Linked DNA regions of Cricetulus griseus. The protein of the gene in region 1 interacts with the protein of each later gene in a biochemical or structural test. Links are inferred from orthologs where the notes say so. Each region holds a gene or a part of one and is shown in the gene's direction. Other genes may lie near its edges. The genes, in order: CCAAT/enhancer-binding protein alpha, Trib1 and Smarca4.

Region 1 (4,686 bases):
GTCTCTCTCTTAGCTAGGAACTTTCTCACTGCGTTCCCTTTCCCCTGGCGGGGTGGTGGGGGGACGACAAACAAACACTATTTTTAGCTTAGTAGAAAGCTGGAGATCCCACTTGGCTTTGAAGGGTTTCTCTCCAGGGGACACTCCACAGGTGCCTGGTGTATAAATGGGTGGCGCATCTGGCCCCTCCGCTCACACCAGGGTTATTTATTTAGTGTATCTGCTTTTTTTACGCTCTCGGTTCAAAAGCATCAAGCTAAAAATATCTTGTTTATGCGCTCTGGCCCGAAAATGAAGCAGTTGGGTCATTAATCACCGAGAATATGTTGAATGGGAATTTGATTAAAGGACGGGTGCGTCCTCCAGACGAAGTCGGTTCTCTACTGTAACTAACCACAGTGGAAAGCACAGCGGGCCTCCCCAACTGAGTTTTTTAGCCGCGCCTCCTTGAGCCTCCTGGGAGGATCGCAGCGCCTTTCCTGGGCTAAGAGGGTCATTGCACTGGGGGTCTTGACCTGGGCACCCTGGGGTTTCAGGAAGAGGGACCCCCCCAGCCTGGCATGCAGACAAACGGGGCTCGAGAAGACGTCAGGCCCCAGCTCAGGAAGCCGCAAAAGGCTCCTCGGGGTGCAGAAAGCAGAGATTTGGGTGCTCACCAGGCCCCATCTGCCCCCGACCTCCACGGCCGCGATCCAGGTGGAGAATGAGCCCGTCGCCAACGCCACGTGGCTGGGGAGACTATGCAGGCAAACTCCTACCCAAGCTGCGAGCCTGCAGGCGGCGCGGCCCCGAGGATCCCCGGGACCCGACAGGGTACTCCCAGGGGGTGCTCAGACTCCGTAGCCAGGGACTGGACACTCAGGCGACGGAGATTGGCGCCCACCCGAATGACAGGAGGGAAAGAAACCTGTGGCTTTAGGCTCCTGACTAAGGATCCCGCTTGGGGATCCCGCTCACCTCCTCTCTGTCTCTGTCTTTCTCTCTCCCTCCCTCTCTCTCCCACACCCTGCCCTCTCCCCGCCCCCGCGCGCTTGCCCTGGTGTCCTGTTCCCCGAGTCTCGGAGGACCCACCCGCCGGTCCCGAGGTCCCAAGCGCTCGGCTAGAGGCTCCACACCAGGCAGCAGCGCCCGCCTTGGAAGCCTAGCAACCCCGGCGCTCTGGCCGGGAGACGTAATTAAAAAGAAAGTTTTCCAGCCGGAGCGGATGGACCGGCCAGGTCCTCGGGACTCCCGGGTTAGCGGCCGCCTTCGCTCCCTGCTGGGTCCTAGCGCCCTGCTCGGCGGATCCCGCGGGACCCCGGGGTAGGGAGGCTGGCTGGGCGGGGAAGAGGCGCCCCGCCTGGAATAATCAGCGGGGTCGCCTGGAGTGGAGAGAGAGAGACACACACAATCTCAGCGCTCCGGCCCCTGCCACTCTGCGGCGCGCGCCAGGTCGCCGCTCCAAAGCAAGTCACAAAGCAGCTAGGTCCCTGGCTGGGGGGGGGGGGGGGACAGGCCTAGTCCTAGCCTTTAAGACCAGTCTGCACCCCGGTAGCTCAAGACGAATATTCCCTCTCCACCCCCTACCCCTACCCCTCCCTGCTCGGCCTCTGGATGCTCCCGGGCTCCCCGGTGTTGGCTGGAAGCGGGTGACTTGGGCAGGCTTGCAGGAGGGGCGCCCAGCCGCGGACCACGTGTGTGCGGGGGCGACAGCGCCGCCAGGGTGGGGCCGAGCGCAGGCCGGGCTGCCTCGCAGCGCAGGAGGCAGTGGGCGTTGCGCCACCGCCTCTCCCCCTGCACGGTGCTCCCGCCCCGCTCGCCGCCTGGGAGAAACACAGAGGGCGAGCGAGAGACAGACAGCGGGCTCTAAGACCCAGCAGGCGCCCTGCTGCCCTCGCCCTGGGCCCGGGACCCTCTTGGACACCAGGGGGCGACGTCCGATCCCCCTATAAGAGCGGATCGCGCGCGGGCCTGACCATTCGCGACCCGGAGCTGCGCGGGGCGCGCGAGCGAGTCGGGGGCTCCGGCGGGGCGGGCGGCGAGCGGGCGGCGGTGAGCGGGCGAGCGGCGGCGGAGGCAGCGGCGCCACGCGCAGGCTGGAGGCCGCCGTGAGGCTCGCCATGCCGGGAGAACTCTAACTCCTCCATGGAGCCGGCCGACTTCTACGAGGCGGAGCCGCGGCCCCCGATGAGCAGCCACCTCCAGAGTCCCCCGCACGCGCCCACCAGCAGCAGCAGCAGCAGCAGTAGCAGCGCCGCCTTCGGCTTCCCCCGGGGCGCGGGCCCCGCGCCTCCCCCAGCCCTACCTGCTGCCCCGGAGCCGCTGGGCGGCATCTGCGAGCACGAGACGTCCATAGACATCAGCGCTTACATCGACCCGGCCGCCTTCAACGACGAGTTCCTGGCCGATCTCTTCCAGCACAGCCGGCAGCAGGAGAAGGCCAAGGCGGCCGCGGGCCCCGCGGGTGGCGGCGGCGGCGGCGGCGGTGACTTTGACTACCCGGGCGCCCCGACGGGCCCCGGCGGCGCGGTCATGTCCGCGGGGGCGCACGGGCCCCCTCCGGGCTACGGCTGCACGGCGGCCGGCTACCTGGACGGCAGGCTGGAGCCCCTGTACGAGCGCGTCGGGGCGCCGGCGCTGCGGCCGCTGGTGATCAAGCAGGAGCCCCGCGAGGAGGACGAGGCCAAGCAGCTGGCGCTGGCCGGCCTCTTCCCCTACCAGCCGCCGCCGCCGCCGCCGCCGGTGCACCCGCACGCGTCTCCCGCGCACCTGGCCGCCCCGCACCTGCAGTTCCAGATCGCGCACTGCGGCCAGACCACCATGCACCTGCAGCCCGGCCACCCCACGCCGCCGCCCACGCCCGTGCCCAGCCCGCACCCCGCGCCCGCTTTGGGGGCTGCGGGCCTGCCCGCCCCCGGGGGTGCGCTCAAGGGTTTGGCTGGCGCGCACCCCGACCTCCGCCCCGGGGGCGCCGGGGGCGCCGGCGGCGCAGGCGCGGGCAAGGCCAAGAAGTCGGTGGACAAGAACAGCAACGAGTACCGGGTGCGGCGGGAACGCAACAACATCGCGGTGCGCAAGAGCCGCGACAAAGCCAAGCAGCGCAACGTGGAGACGCAGCAGAAGGTGCTGGAGCTGACCAGTGACAATGACCGCCTGCGCAAGCGGGTGGAGCAGCTGAGCCGGGAACTGGACACGCTGCGGGGCATCTTCCGCCAGCTGCCCGAGAGCTCCCTGGTCAAGGCCATGGGCAACTGCGCGTGAGGCGCGCGGCTGCGGGACCCCACCGCCTTTGGGCCGGCCACCCCACCCCACCCCTGGCCGGGGACCCGGAGAATGAGTTCGGGTCGCTGCATCTCCAGGCTGCCCCGGGCCCGTGAAAGCCAGGACTAGGAGATGGCGGTGTTGTCGTCTGAGAGCTTGGCCTACTCCGCGTGTCCCCTCCCTTCCTCTGAGCCGGGACTCGGTGCGTCTAAGATGAGGGAGTCAGGCCGCAGTTTTTCTCCTGGAGCCCGGGAGACTTGTCCGCGGAGCTGAGCCGGGAGCCCGCCCGGCCGTTCTAGTATTAAGTAAGGAAGTCACCCTGTGCCTTGGATACTCAGAACTCGCTCCTTTTCCTACCGAGTAGGGGGAGCACACATGTGCCTTGATATTTTATTTGGAGGATCCCTGCCTTCTCCGAGGCTGCGGCAGGCCCCCCCCCATGAGAGCATGAAGGGTGCAGGCCCAGGGCAGGAGAAAGAAGATTCAGGAAGCTGAGATCCCGGCAGGCAGCGCTCCGCTGCTGCCCCTCCGTCCCTGTCCTTAGAGGGGAGGGACTTAGGGAGTTGGGGATTTGAGTCTGTAAGAGTACCCCTCCCGCACCCCTCCCCCTCATCCATTTGGAGGTGCACGGTTCTTACTTTTCCCACCTCCACCTTTACTCCGCACCTCAGCTTGCAACAGGCTAAGTTTCCTGGGTGAGTTCGTGGAGAATGGGGGGCGCCACCCCCAGCTAGACCAGAAAGCTAGGCTGTAAGTTAGCCATGTGATTAAGGGAGTAGTGGGAGACGGGAACCTAAGTTTCTGGTCTTGGGGGGAGAGGGGATGAAAGGACACCGGGACCATCAGCCTTGTGTGTACTGTATGTCGCCAGCCGCTGTTGCTGAAGGAACTTGAAGCACAATCGATCCATCCCAGAGGGACTGGAGTTATGACAAGCTTCCCAAATATTTTGCTTTATCATCCGATATCAACACTTGTATCTGGTCTCTGTGTCCCAGCGGTGCCTTGTGCAATGTCAATGTCCACGTCTATGCTAAACCACCATTTTATTTGGTCCTTTTGTTTTGTTTTGGTTTTGCTCAGATTCTTGCCAAAATGAGACTCTTCGCTAGCGGCTGGGGGAAGAAGCTCGGGCCCTCTTTCCTTTTTGGTTTGGGGATTTTTTTTTTTTCTTTTGCTCCCGGAGGACCACCACCCTCCCTCCAGTTTTCCCAGGGTGTCGTTGTGGGTCTTAGCTTCTTCCAGCTGAGACTACTGTATACACAGGCATCCTCCCCCGCCCCCACCCTCAGGCCCTGGCTCTGGGTCTGGAAAGAAGGTCACCTCCAGCCAATTCGTGCACACCCCTGTGGCTGGGAGCAGGGGTGGACTGCTACCTTCTCTTCTTTGGGGGGAGGGGGCACACACAAAGTTTCATGCTAGATGTCGTATGTATTATATCTATAA
Region 2 (4,686 bases), on another chromosome or scaffold:
AGGCAGAGCAGAAGGCCCAGTGTTTGCTTTTATTTCATCCAACAGAAGGTTCTATTTGTGGAAGCGAACAGACGCTGGGGATTAGAGCCGGGAGGAGGCAGGAAAAGGAAGGGGGAGAGAGAGAGAAAAAAAAAAAAGCCACACTCACTACCACGCACAGGTCTTTCCCCGGAACTACCGCGTGGGGGGGTGGGGTGGGGTGGTGGTGAATGACTGCAAATGGAATGCATCACCTTCCCTCTCGCCCCTTCCTCCGGGCTGCAGCCGCGACTCGGCGGCGCCCGCAGCTCCACCGGGAGCTCCCGGAGTGCAAGAGCCACGGGGGACGTCCCCACCGGGGCTGCAGCCAGCGGCTCCCGCCGAGCCCGGACGGAGGGGAGCCGCGCGCCGGCCGGGAGCTCGCACTCCATTGTGTTGTGTGAATGGTGCGCGCGCGCCAATCAGCGGCCGCCTCGCCCCCGCCCAGCCCCGCCCACTTCCCCGGGACCCTGACGTCACGGGAGCTTCTCCTCCGCCCCCCTCCTTCGGCTCCGGGCCGCCGAGCCCGCGGGGCCAGCGCTCGGGTGCGCGCAGCCTGCCGCCCAGCCTAGCCCCGGGGGGCGCGTGCAAGCGTGCAAGCGTGCAAGCGTGCATGCCTGCGCGCGCGCCCAAGACGGCCCCGGACGGACGGACGGACGTTCCCACCTGCGCCCAGGCGCGCGCAGTCGGGAGCATCCCCGGGCCTCCGGCCACCCCCGCTGTCCCCCGCTTCCCACTCCATCACCCCTCCTTCCCCCCCTCCCCTCCCCAGTCTCCTCCCTCCGCTCCGGTGACTGTGAGCCGGGGCGACGGGGCTGGAGTCGTCGCAGCCACCTCATTGCACAACCCGGCTTCCCAACTGTTTACACAGCCCGGCCTGTGAGTGTGTGTGTGAGTGTGTGTGTGAGTGTGAGTGTGTGTGTGTGTATACAGCGTGAGTCACCGGGAGGCGGAGGAGGTGGAGGAAAAGGAGAAGGAGCGCACAGGCCGGCATCAGTGCGGCGCACACACTCACATCCAGCCACTCTCTCTCTGAGCGCGGCTCGCACGCTCCACCGCCCGCCCGCCCGCTCGCACTCCCGGAGCGCGCAGGATCCCGAGCGGCGCGGCAAAGTTGTGCCGGCTTCTACTCCCCACTTAATTGCTTTTGGAAGTGAGTGCCTTGGCTCCGGGAAGCCACCGAGCCTGCGGAATCCGATCCTCCAGACTCCAGCGCCCCGGAACCCGGGGAAGCCGGGGAAGCCGGGCCGCCTCCCCGTCCCGGGACTCAGCCCCCAGCGTCGGCAACAATAGCGGCCCCGATCGCCGCCGCCGCCGCCCGCGAGGCGCCCAGACCTGGTGGCCGCGGGAGTCTGGGGACCCCGGGTGGCCTCCCTCCCCAGCCCGGACGCGTGGCCAGCGTGGTCCTCGTGTGGAAGACGCCGGCGTCCGGGAACGGCTGTCGTCGCGCACCTCTCGGGGACCGATCGGAGCTCCGTCTGCCAACGGCATCCCGAGGGCTGGAAGGAATCGCAGCGCCGAGCCCGGGATTTCCAAAGCCGGGGCCGCTCCGGCCAGGGCCGCGATGCGGGTCGGTCCCGTGCGCTTTGCACTCGGCGGCGCCTCGCAGCCCCGCTCGGCTCCGGCTCTGCTCTTCCCGGCCGCCCGGGCTACCCCGGCCAAACGGCTGCTGGACGCGGACGACGCGGCGGCCGTGGCGGCCAAGTGTCCGCGCCTCTCCGAGTGCTCGAGCCCCCCCGACTACCTCAGTCCCCCGGGCTCGCCCTGCAGCCCGCAGCCTCCGCCCTCCGCTCAGGGGACCGGCGGCGGCGGCAGCTGTGCGAGCGCACCCGGGCCCAGCCGCATCGCCGACTACCTGCTGCTGCCCCTAGCCGAGCGCGAGCATGTGTCCCGGGCGCTGTGCATCCACACCGGCCGCGAGCTGCGCTGCAAGGTAAGCATCCCGGGGGCCAGGGCTGCGGGCCTGGCACGAGGGCTTGGCTACCCCGGATCGCGCCCCGGCCGGAGCTTTGGGGTTGGCAGAGCCGCTAAGGAAGGGCTTTGAAAAGTCGGATCAAGAGGGCGTTTTGGTCAGCTTCGCCCCTGAGGGCTTTCCTGTGGAGTGTTCTGCTGAGGGACCCGCGGTCTAGGGCAAGTGGAGGGGTTCATCTCGGTGCTTTTTTTCTTTGGCGCTCAAGTGTGGCTAGCGCGTGGCGTCCCATTTAAGTTTGGAATTGCAATGGATTCCAGGGCCATGCCATTGCCCTGCTCTCATCCCCCCCTCCTCCCCCTGCCCTGGACGGACGCCCTGCAGTGGGTGCCTCCTCCCGGCTTGGAGCAGCTGGCAGGCTCTCAGCCGGACGTTCGCGGCACAGGCTCTGCAGACACGGTGTCCGGCTTCTACCCAGGGGGTTCTGGCTGGAACCAGAATACAGCCCACCCCAGGGAGTCGCGGGCCTGCGGGGGTTTAAGCCTGGGAGGGGCTCCAGGCCTGATTGAGAAGAGTGTTGAGGAGCTCCCAGGGGCTCTCGCTTCCACTCGCTGTAGTTTGCGTCCGCCAGTTTTTATTGCAACCTTAGGGGGAGTACAACTCCATAGGGGATGGCCCGGCTCTCCTGGAGAGCGCGGAGCCGTGGACGGTCTGTGCTTGGTGAGCGCGACGCTCACACCCTGGTCCACCGAGAGCCCCCACCGACTGCTTTCATTCCCCTGGAGTTAAGAGTGGCTCCTGGGTTTTCAGCAGCTCACCTGAACTCCCCTCTCCCCGCTTGCTGGTGCCACCTACTGTCTACTCGCGTGAAATCTCAGATGCGTGGTCAAGCCCAGAGGGGGGGAAAAAACCTTTTTTTCTTGGTGGATGAGAGCAGTTTTGGAAGAGAAACTTGTGTGGAGGGGTGGGTGGGGCGGGAGGAGAGAGCAGCAGAGGGATTCCCCCCCCCAGTTGGTACCAGAGCAGCCACCTCAGAGGTGGGGTGGGTCTGGGTCATTGTGCAACCCCTTCCAGTTCCTCCGAGCAGATAATAGCTGAATCCAGATGGTGACAGCCCGTGTGTCACCATTTCCAGTTGCGTCTAGGATATGAGTAACCGGAGTGAACAAAAGGCCCTTAAAGAGACCAGCCAGCAGCTTCTTAGAGGATTTGCCCTCCGTTCTGGGGGTGGGGCAACTAAGGTGGGGGGAGGCGTGTAAACAGATGAAAACGGCTTTTCTGAGGTGCCCATCCCCTCCTGTCGGAAGGTACACCCCAGGCTGCCTCCACCTGAGTCACAGCCATAGGAAGGTTGCTTAAGGCAGCCTTGTCAGTCTCTCCCTCCAAGTCATCAGTCCCTCTGACTAATGACATCTCTACATGTTTGCTGCCTCTGCTTCCCCTTGGAGGCAGCGAAATCGCCACATTCCTTGGCTGTGCTGAGCTGAGCCTTCTGTGTTTCATTGTTGCTTTTCACCCTTGCAGGGATGCTGGGGTCCCTTCCCTTAGCTACCTTGTAGCAAGCCTTATCTATTAGGAAGATCCAATCCACGTCAGGCTCGGCTCCCAGGAGCTGATACCAGGCCCCTAAAAGACAAAAGTATGTGTGGACCAGGGTAGGCTTTGGAAGTTGCTAGCCGGGATCCCAAGGTGTGACTTGCTTTAAGGGCATCATAGCAGCTGGAGCTGCATAAACGGCAGAGAGAATGGACTATCCAAAGGTTGAGGACCTCAGCCCAGCTTCATGTAGGACCTGGCGGGCAGCCCCTGAACTTCTGGCCCCTAAACAGGTCACTTTATCTCCGCAGGTGTTTCCCATTAAACACTACCAGGACAAAATCAGGCCTTACATCCAGCTGCCGTCGCACAGAAACATTACCGGCATCGTGGAAGTAATCCTTGGGGAGACCAAGGCCTACGTCTTCTTCGAGAAGGACTTTGGGGACATGCACTCCTATGTGCGAAGCCGGAAAAGGCTTCGGGAAGAGGAGGCCGCTCGGCTCTTCAAGCAGATAGTCTCCGCCGTTGCCCACTGCCACCAGTCGGCCATCGTGCTGGGGGACCTGAAGCTTAGGAAGTTTGTCTTCTCCACGGAGGAGAGGTGAGCAGCTGCCACAGCACCTCCTGTGGCCCTTTGGAACCAAAAAAACTGAAGGTACAGGTCATGCAGTTAGGTGCAAGCCAAACCCAAGGCTCAGGTCTTGCCTGGTTTAGTATTAAGTCATGCTTCTGGAAGTTTGTGGTCAACCTTGGTTCATTCTTTGCCCTGTTGGATGGCGAAGCCTAGAGACACCTTGGCGCTTTTGAGGATGCTGCCTAATGACAGATACACTTCTATTTCTGTCCCAGGCTCAGGCTTTCTTGTCAGGGAGGTCAGTCCAACGGGGAAAAGGTGTTCACCTGTCCTGGAAAGCACAGACTCCAAGAGGTGGTCAAATCCTGGCTTCCATCAGTGCCTGGGCTGTGCCTAGAAGACATGACAGAGCTGGTTAGGCTGTTGTGTTTGCAGAATTCCAGCCAGCCCTACCACACTGCATTCCTGCACTGTTTTAACCTTGGTACCCTCACCCCACACCCCGAAATGGTTTGCTCACATTTTCTGGTGAGATTTTAGCCATCTCATCGGCTCCATCTTCAGAAAATACCCACATTGAAGAATAAATGGAAGTTGGCTAGCACGCACCGCTAAATATAGTTCTTGGCTTACCTCATAAAGGACA
Region 3 (4,586 bases), on another chromosome or scaffold:
AGGCTTGCTGTGGTCCCAGCAGGTGTGTTCTCAAGAGTACTCTTAGGCTGCTTGCCTCTGTTCTGTTGTAACTGGAGTCCCTTTCTCAGGTGTCATATCTCTTACAGTTGGGCTGGGTCTCCCTCCTTTGAAGGACAGATTTTTTTTTTTTTTTTTTAGATTTATTTATTATGTATACAATGTTCTGTCTGCATGTGTCCCTGCAGGCCAGAAGAGGGCACCAGACTTCATGGATGGCTGTGAGCCACCATGTGGTTGCTGGGAATTGAACTCAGGACCTCTGGAAGAACGGGCAGTGCTCTTAATCCCTGAGCCATCTCTCCAGCCCAAAGGACAGATTCTTTACAGACTCTAGCTTTAAAGACAGAGACCAGGTGATTACTTGCAGATGGATAGTCCTCACCGCTTGTCCTTTTTCTGTCTCTGCCCAGGCTGCAGGCTCGAATTGCACATCGAATTCAGGAACTTGAAAATCTTCCTGGGTCTCTGGCTGGGGACCTGCGAACCAAAGCAACCATTGAACTCAAGGCCCTTAGGTTGCTGAACTTCCAGAGGCAGGTGGGTCTGGTGGCCTCAACTCTGGGCTCATGAGGCCTTTTCTGCCAGTGAAAATGCTGGGTTCTCAGAATGCTTTGAGGGATGTTATCTGGGATACCTGTGTGGTTGGGGCTATCAGGGTCCCAGGAGAGTTGGTTCACTATCATGGCCCACACTTCAGTAAGACCTGGCCATGCATATCCTGTGCATACACAAGTGTGGGCTCCTGAAAGGCAGGAGGCTTGTTGAGTCTCTTCCTGAGGTTTCTGTGCTTTTACACATCCCCCCCAGGAGCTGTGTGTGTGGCTGTGGAAAAGTTTAGATCTCTCATGTTCTGCTCTTTGCTTGTCTCACCTGTGGTGCTTCTCAGGTGCCCTGTGCATTCCAGGCAGTTTGTTGCAATATCATCTGCCCAGCATGTGGTCATCCCTTGAGTATCACCACAGACATCACAAACCCATCATACCTGATGGCAGTGTCTTCTTTTGTATCCTAAAGCTGCGTCAGGAGGTGGTGGTATGCATGCGCAGAGACACAGCCCTAGAGACAGCCCTCAATGCCAAGGCCTACAAGCGCAGCAAGCGGCAGTCACTGCGGGAGGCCCGCATCACTGAAAAGCTAGAGAAGCAGCAGAAGATTGAGCAGGAACGCAAGCGCCGCCAGAAGCACCAGGTGGGTCCGCCACAGCACCTTGCAGGGTACACTCTGCTGGTCATCTTCCTGTGGCTCAGCATAAGAGTCCCTGGGCATGGGCACAGTGTGTCAGTACACAGGCTAAACAGTGAGAGGGGATGAGCAGTGGTCACATTGGGCAAGTAAGGGATGGGAAAATATAGTAAGGACAAAGAAGAAGCAGCCACCTCAGGTAAAAAGGGGGTCAGTGAAGTTTCCATGATGAGAGACGGAGAGATTTGACAAGGGTGCCAGACTGAGGAGGGGCAGTAGCCCTGGGACTGGAACATGCTTCCATATTTCATCTTGAATCAAAGATTGGGGTAGCTGAGTGAGCCATAGGGTGCACTGGGGAGGGTGAGTGAGGATCCTGCAGGGTATAGAGTCTTTGGGCTTTTGCTTTCAGCAAGGGGAAACTACAAGCAGCTGAATTATTACAAAGTCCATCAAGAAAATGAAAATCTACAGTCAAGTAGGCTTTCAGATGATTCCAGTCTGCTCATTTGTTTTGTTGTGTATGATTTAAAAATAGATTTAGATTTCTTTTATGCATATTTGTTTAAACTGCCTATATACACATCACATGCACGTACCCAAGGAGGTCAGGAAATGAGAGCATTATATTCCCTGGGATTGGAGTTACAGGTGATTGTTAGCTACCATGTGGATGCTGGGAATTGAACCCAGGTCCTCTGCAAGAGCAACAAGTGCTCTTAACCACTGAGTCATCTTCCAGCCTTGTTTGTTTGTTTGTTTTTGAAACAGAGTTTTGCTGTCTAACCCTGAATGTTGTAGTACTCTTGTGTAACCCAGACTGGCCTCAGACTCAACAGTCTTCCTGCCTCACCTTTCTGTGGGCTAGGATTATAGGTATGGACCACCTTGCTGGGGCTGGTTGTTCATTCATAGTTTCTACATTTTCAAAGTAATGACTTTTATTCCAGGATGACCATGGTGTGGGTTTGTAATCTTTATACTCAGAGACAAAGGCAGAAGTATCACAGGATTAAGGGCAACCTGAGCCCAAGGTGTAGCTCATTGATAGAGTGCTTGCCCAGGACACACCACACGGCCATAAGAAAATTTAAAGTCGGTGCTCAGAGCTGGGTGGTGGTGGCACCCGCCTTTAATCCCAGCACTTGGAAGGCAGAGGCAGGTGGATCTCTGAGAGTTTGAGGCCAGCCTGGTCTACAAAGTGAGTTCTAGGACAGCTCAGAAAGCAGGATGTGATGGGAGCTTGTTTGGAAGTTGATTTACAGTGTCAAGTTTCCCCCGGCAAGAGGCTGGCTCCCTTGGACCAGGTGTAGTGGCCCTTGATCCCAGCACCCAGGAGGCAGAGGCAGGTTGTTCTCTGAGTTTGAGGCTAGTCTGGTCCACATAGTGAGTTCCAGGGCAGCCAGGGCTATATAATGAGACCTCACAAGGGGGGGGTGTTCACTTGATACACCCACCTGTTGTGTCCAAGGGGTCCTGTCATTGCACAGGGGCCAGCAGATAATTTTGTCATAGGCAGAACTGAATATGGTAGCCTTATTATCTGGACAGTACCCCTTTCCATTTTCTTTGAGGAGCTAGCAATGGAATCCTGAGCTTCAGGTATGCTAAAGAAGTGCTCTGCTGCTGAGCCAGTTCTAGACACTCCTTTGTCTTTAAAAAGCTGTGGGTACAGTTGTACCTTACTGAGCTGAGACCTAGCCACTCCTCCACGATGTCTCTTCTGCAGGAGTACCTCAACAGCATCCTGCAGCATGCCAAGGACTTCAGGGAGTATCACAGATCAGTCACAGGCAAACTCCAGAAACTCACCAAGGCTGTGGCTACCTACCATGCAAATACTGAGCGGGAGCAGAAGAAAGAAAATGAGCGCATTGAGAAGGAGCGAATGCGGAGGCTTATGGTATCTATCAGTTTCTTGGTTTTGGTCACTGGCGGGCCATGGGGTACAGCAAATTCTGGGTTATTCATCCAGGATCATTAGATGCTCTGTGACTTGGCTTAGAAGTAGAGCTGAAGGAAAGAGTCACATACATGGATATGGGAGGCAGAGGTCTGGGCCTTTGACTTTATTCCTTCTGACTCTTAGGGCAGGCTAGTTCTTGAATTCTCTGGCTGCCTCCTGCTCTGAGCCTCATGAGAGCCATGGAAGGTACCATGAAAACTATACCCAAATGAGTCCTTCTGATGTTTCATCATGGTGTAGCTGCTAGCTGCACAGATACTGTTACCTGCTCTGGGGACACAGAAGGGTGCAGAATGGTCCCTGTCTTCATGGGGCTCATGTTTGCCCTGGAAAGAACCAAACAGACATACTAGTCTTGGGTGGAGACAATTGAGGCAGGGCTGGGCTGGACAGCTATGAGACAGACTTGGAGCTGAGGTTGAGGGCTGCATCCAGTGCACAGTGCAGAGTGGTGTGGAGGCAAAAGAGTCCAAGGAGGAGAGGAGAAGGGAAGGAAGCAGGACACCAAACCCAAGGTACAGCCAGTTACCATTGGGGCCCTAGAACCTCGTAGTGCTGGGACAGGACACCAGGCCAAGAGCTTGCAAAGTTGCATCACGTGGGGCTTACAGGCCATCGGGAAGGAAATAGATTATAGAAGGAGTACCCAGGGAAAGTTTTCTGCGCTATAGTAGTTTTTCTTTTATTTGAAATAGGGTTTCATTATAACCCTTGCTAGCCTCCTTTATATAAGCTGGGCTTGAACTCAGAGCCCCCTGCTGCTGTCTCCCAAGTGCTGGGATTACAAGCATATTCATTCATTCATAAAAGGATGTATAAAGGTTGGGGGTTGGTGGCATACGCCTTTAATCCCAGCACTCGGGTGGCAGAGGCAGGCGAATCTCTGAGTTCGAGGCCATCCTGGTCTTCAGAGCGAGTGCCAGGATAGAGTCCAAAGCTACACAGAGAAACCTTTGTCTCAAAAAACCAAAAAAAAAAAAAAAAAAAAGGATGTATAAAGGTCAAGACAGATTTGTAGAGACGGTCCTAGATTACTTAGAGTGAGGGTGGGTTGAGATTCATACTGACAGGGCCGATATCAGATAAGAAGATTGGGATTTGTGATGTGGATTTTGGAGAAAGAGTCTAAAACTCACTCATGCCCTCTATGAATGGGTCATGACAGGACTATGTTGCCTGGCAGTTACCTCAGGGTCCAGCATGGGGCTTGGGGTGTAGTAGCAGTCATGCATGAGCTTCTGCAGTCCTCAAGTGTCCACCCTGCGGGCCTGTGTTCCGCCCTGCCTTGGTTTTACAGGCTGAAGATGAGGAGGGCTACCGAAAGCTCATTGACCAGAAGAAGGACAAACGTTTGGCCTACCTCCTGCAGCAGACGGACGAGTATGTGGCCAACCTCACAGAGTTGGTACGGCAGCAC

Evidence for each region.
Region 2: the proteins of CCAAT/enhancer-binding protein alpha (region 1) and Trib1 form a complex in vitro, tested with the Homo sapiens proteins (2 studies listed by BioGRID and IntAct, with this or other methods). The link is inferred for Cricetulus griseus from reciprocal best matches to the Homo sapiens genes CEBPA and TRIB1.
Region 3: the proteins of CCAAT/enhancer-binding protein alpha (region 1) and Smarca4 form a complex in vitro, tested with the Homo sapiens proteins (2 studies listed by BioGRID, with this or other methods). The link is inferred for Cricetulus griseus from reciprocal best matches to the Homo sapiens genes CEBPA and SMARCA4.

The regions. Positions count from the first base shown.
Region 1 is NC_048602.1:3,363,862-3,368,547, reverse strand, and holds the start of CCAAT/enhancer-binding protein alpha, read left to right. Parts: upstream 1-2,000; 5' UTR 2,001-2,124; coding exon 2,125-3,240; 3' UTR 3,241-4,686. UniProt on the Homo sapiens protein: Transcription factor that coordinates proliferation arrest and the differentiation of myeloid progenitors, adipocytes, hepatocytes, and cells of the lung and the placenta.
Region 2 is NC_048603.1:27,988,026-27,992,711, reverse strand, and holds the start of Trib1 (tribbles homolog 1), read left to right. Parts: upstream 1-1,551; 5' UTR 1,552-1,582; coding exon 1,583-1,951; intron 1,952-3,774; coding exon 3,775-4,067; intron 4,068-4,686. UniProt on the Homo sapiens protein: Adapter protein involved in protein degradation by interacting with COP1 ubiquitin ligase. The COP1-binding motif is masked by autoinhibitory interactions with the protein kinase domain.
Region 3 is NC_048597.1:134,522,237-134,526,822, forward strand, and holds part of Smarca4 (transcription activator BRG1), read left to right. Parts: intron 1-431; coding exon 432-558; intron 559-1,035; coding exon 1,036-1,209; intron 1,210-2,932; coding exon 2,933-3,106; intron 3,107-4,466; coding exon 4,467-4,586. UniProt on the Homo sapiens protein: ATPase involved in transcriptional activation and repression of select genes by chromatin remodeling (alteration of DNA-nucleosome topology).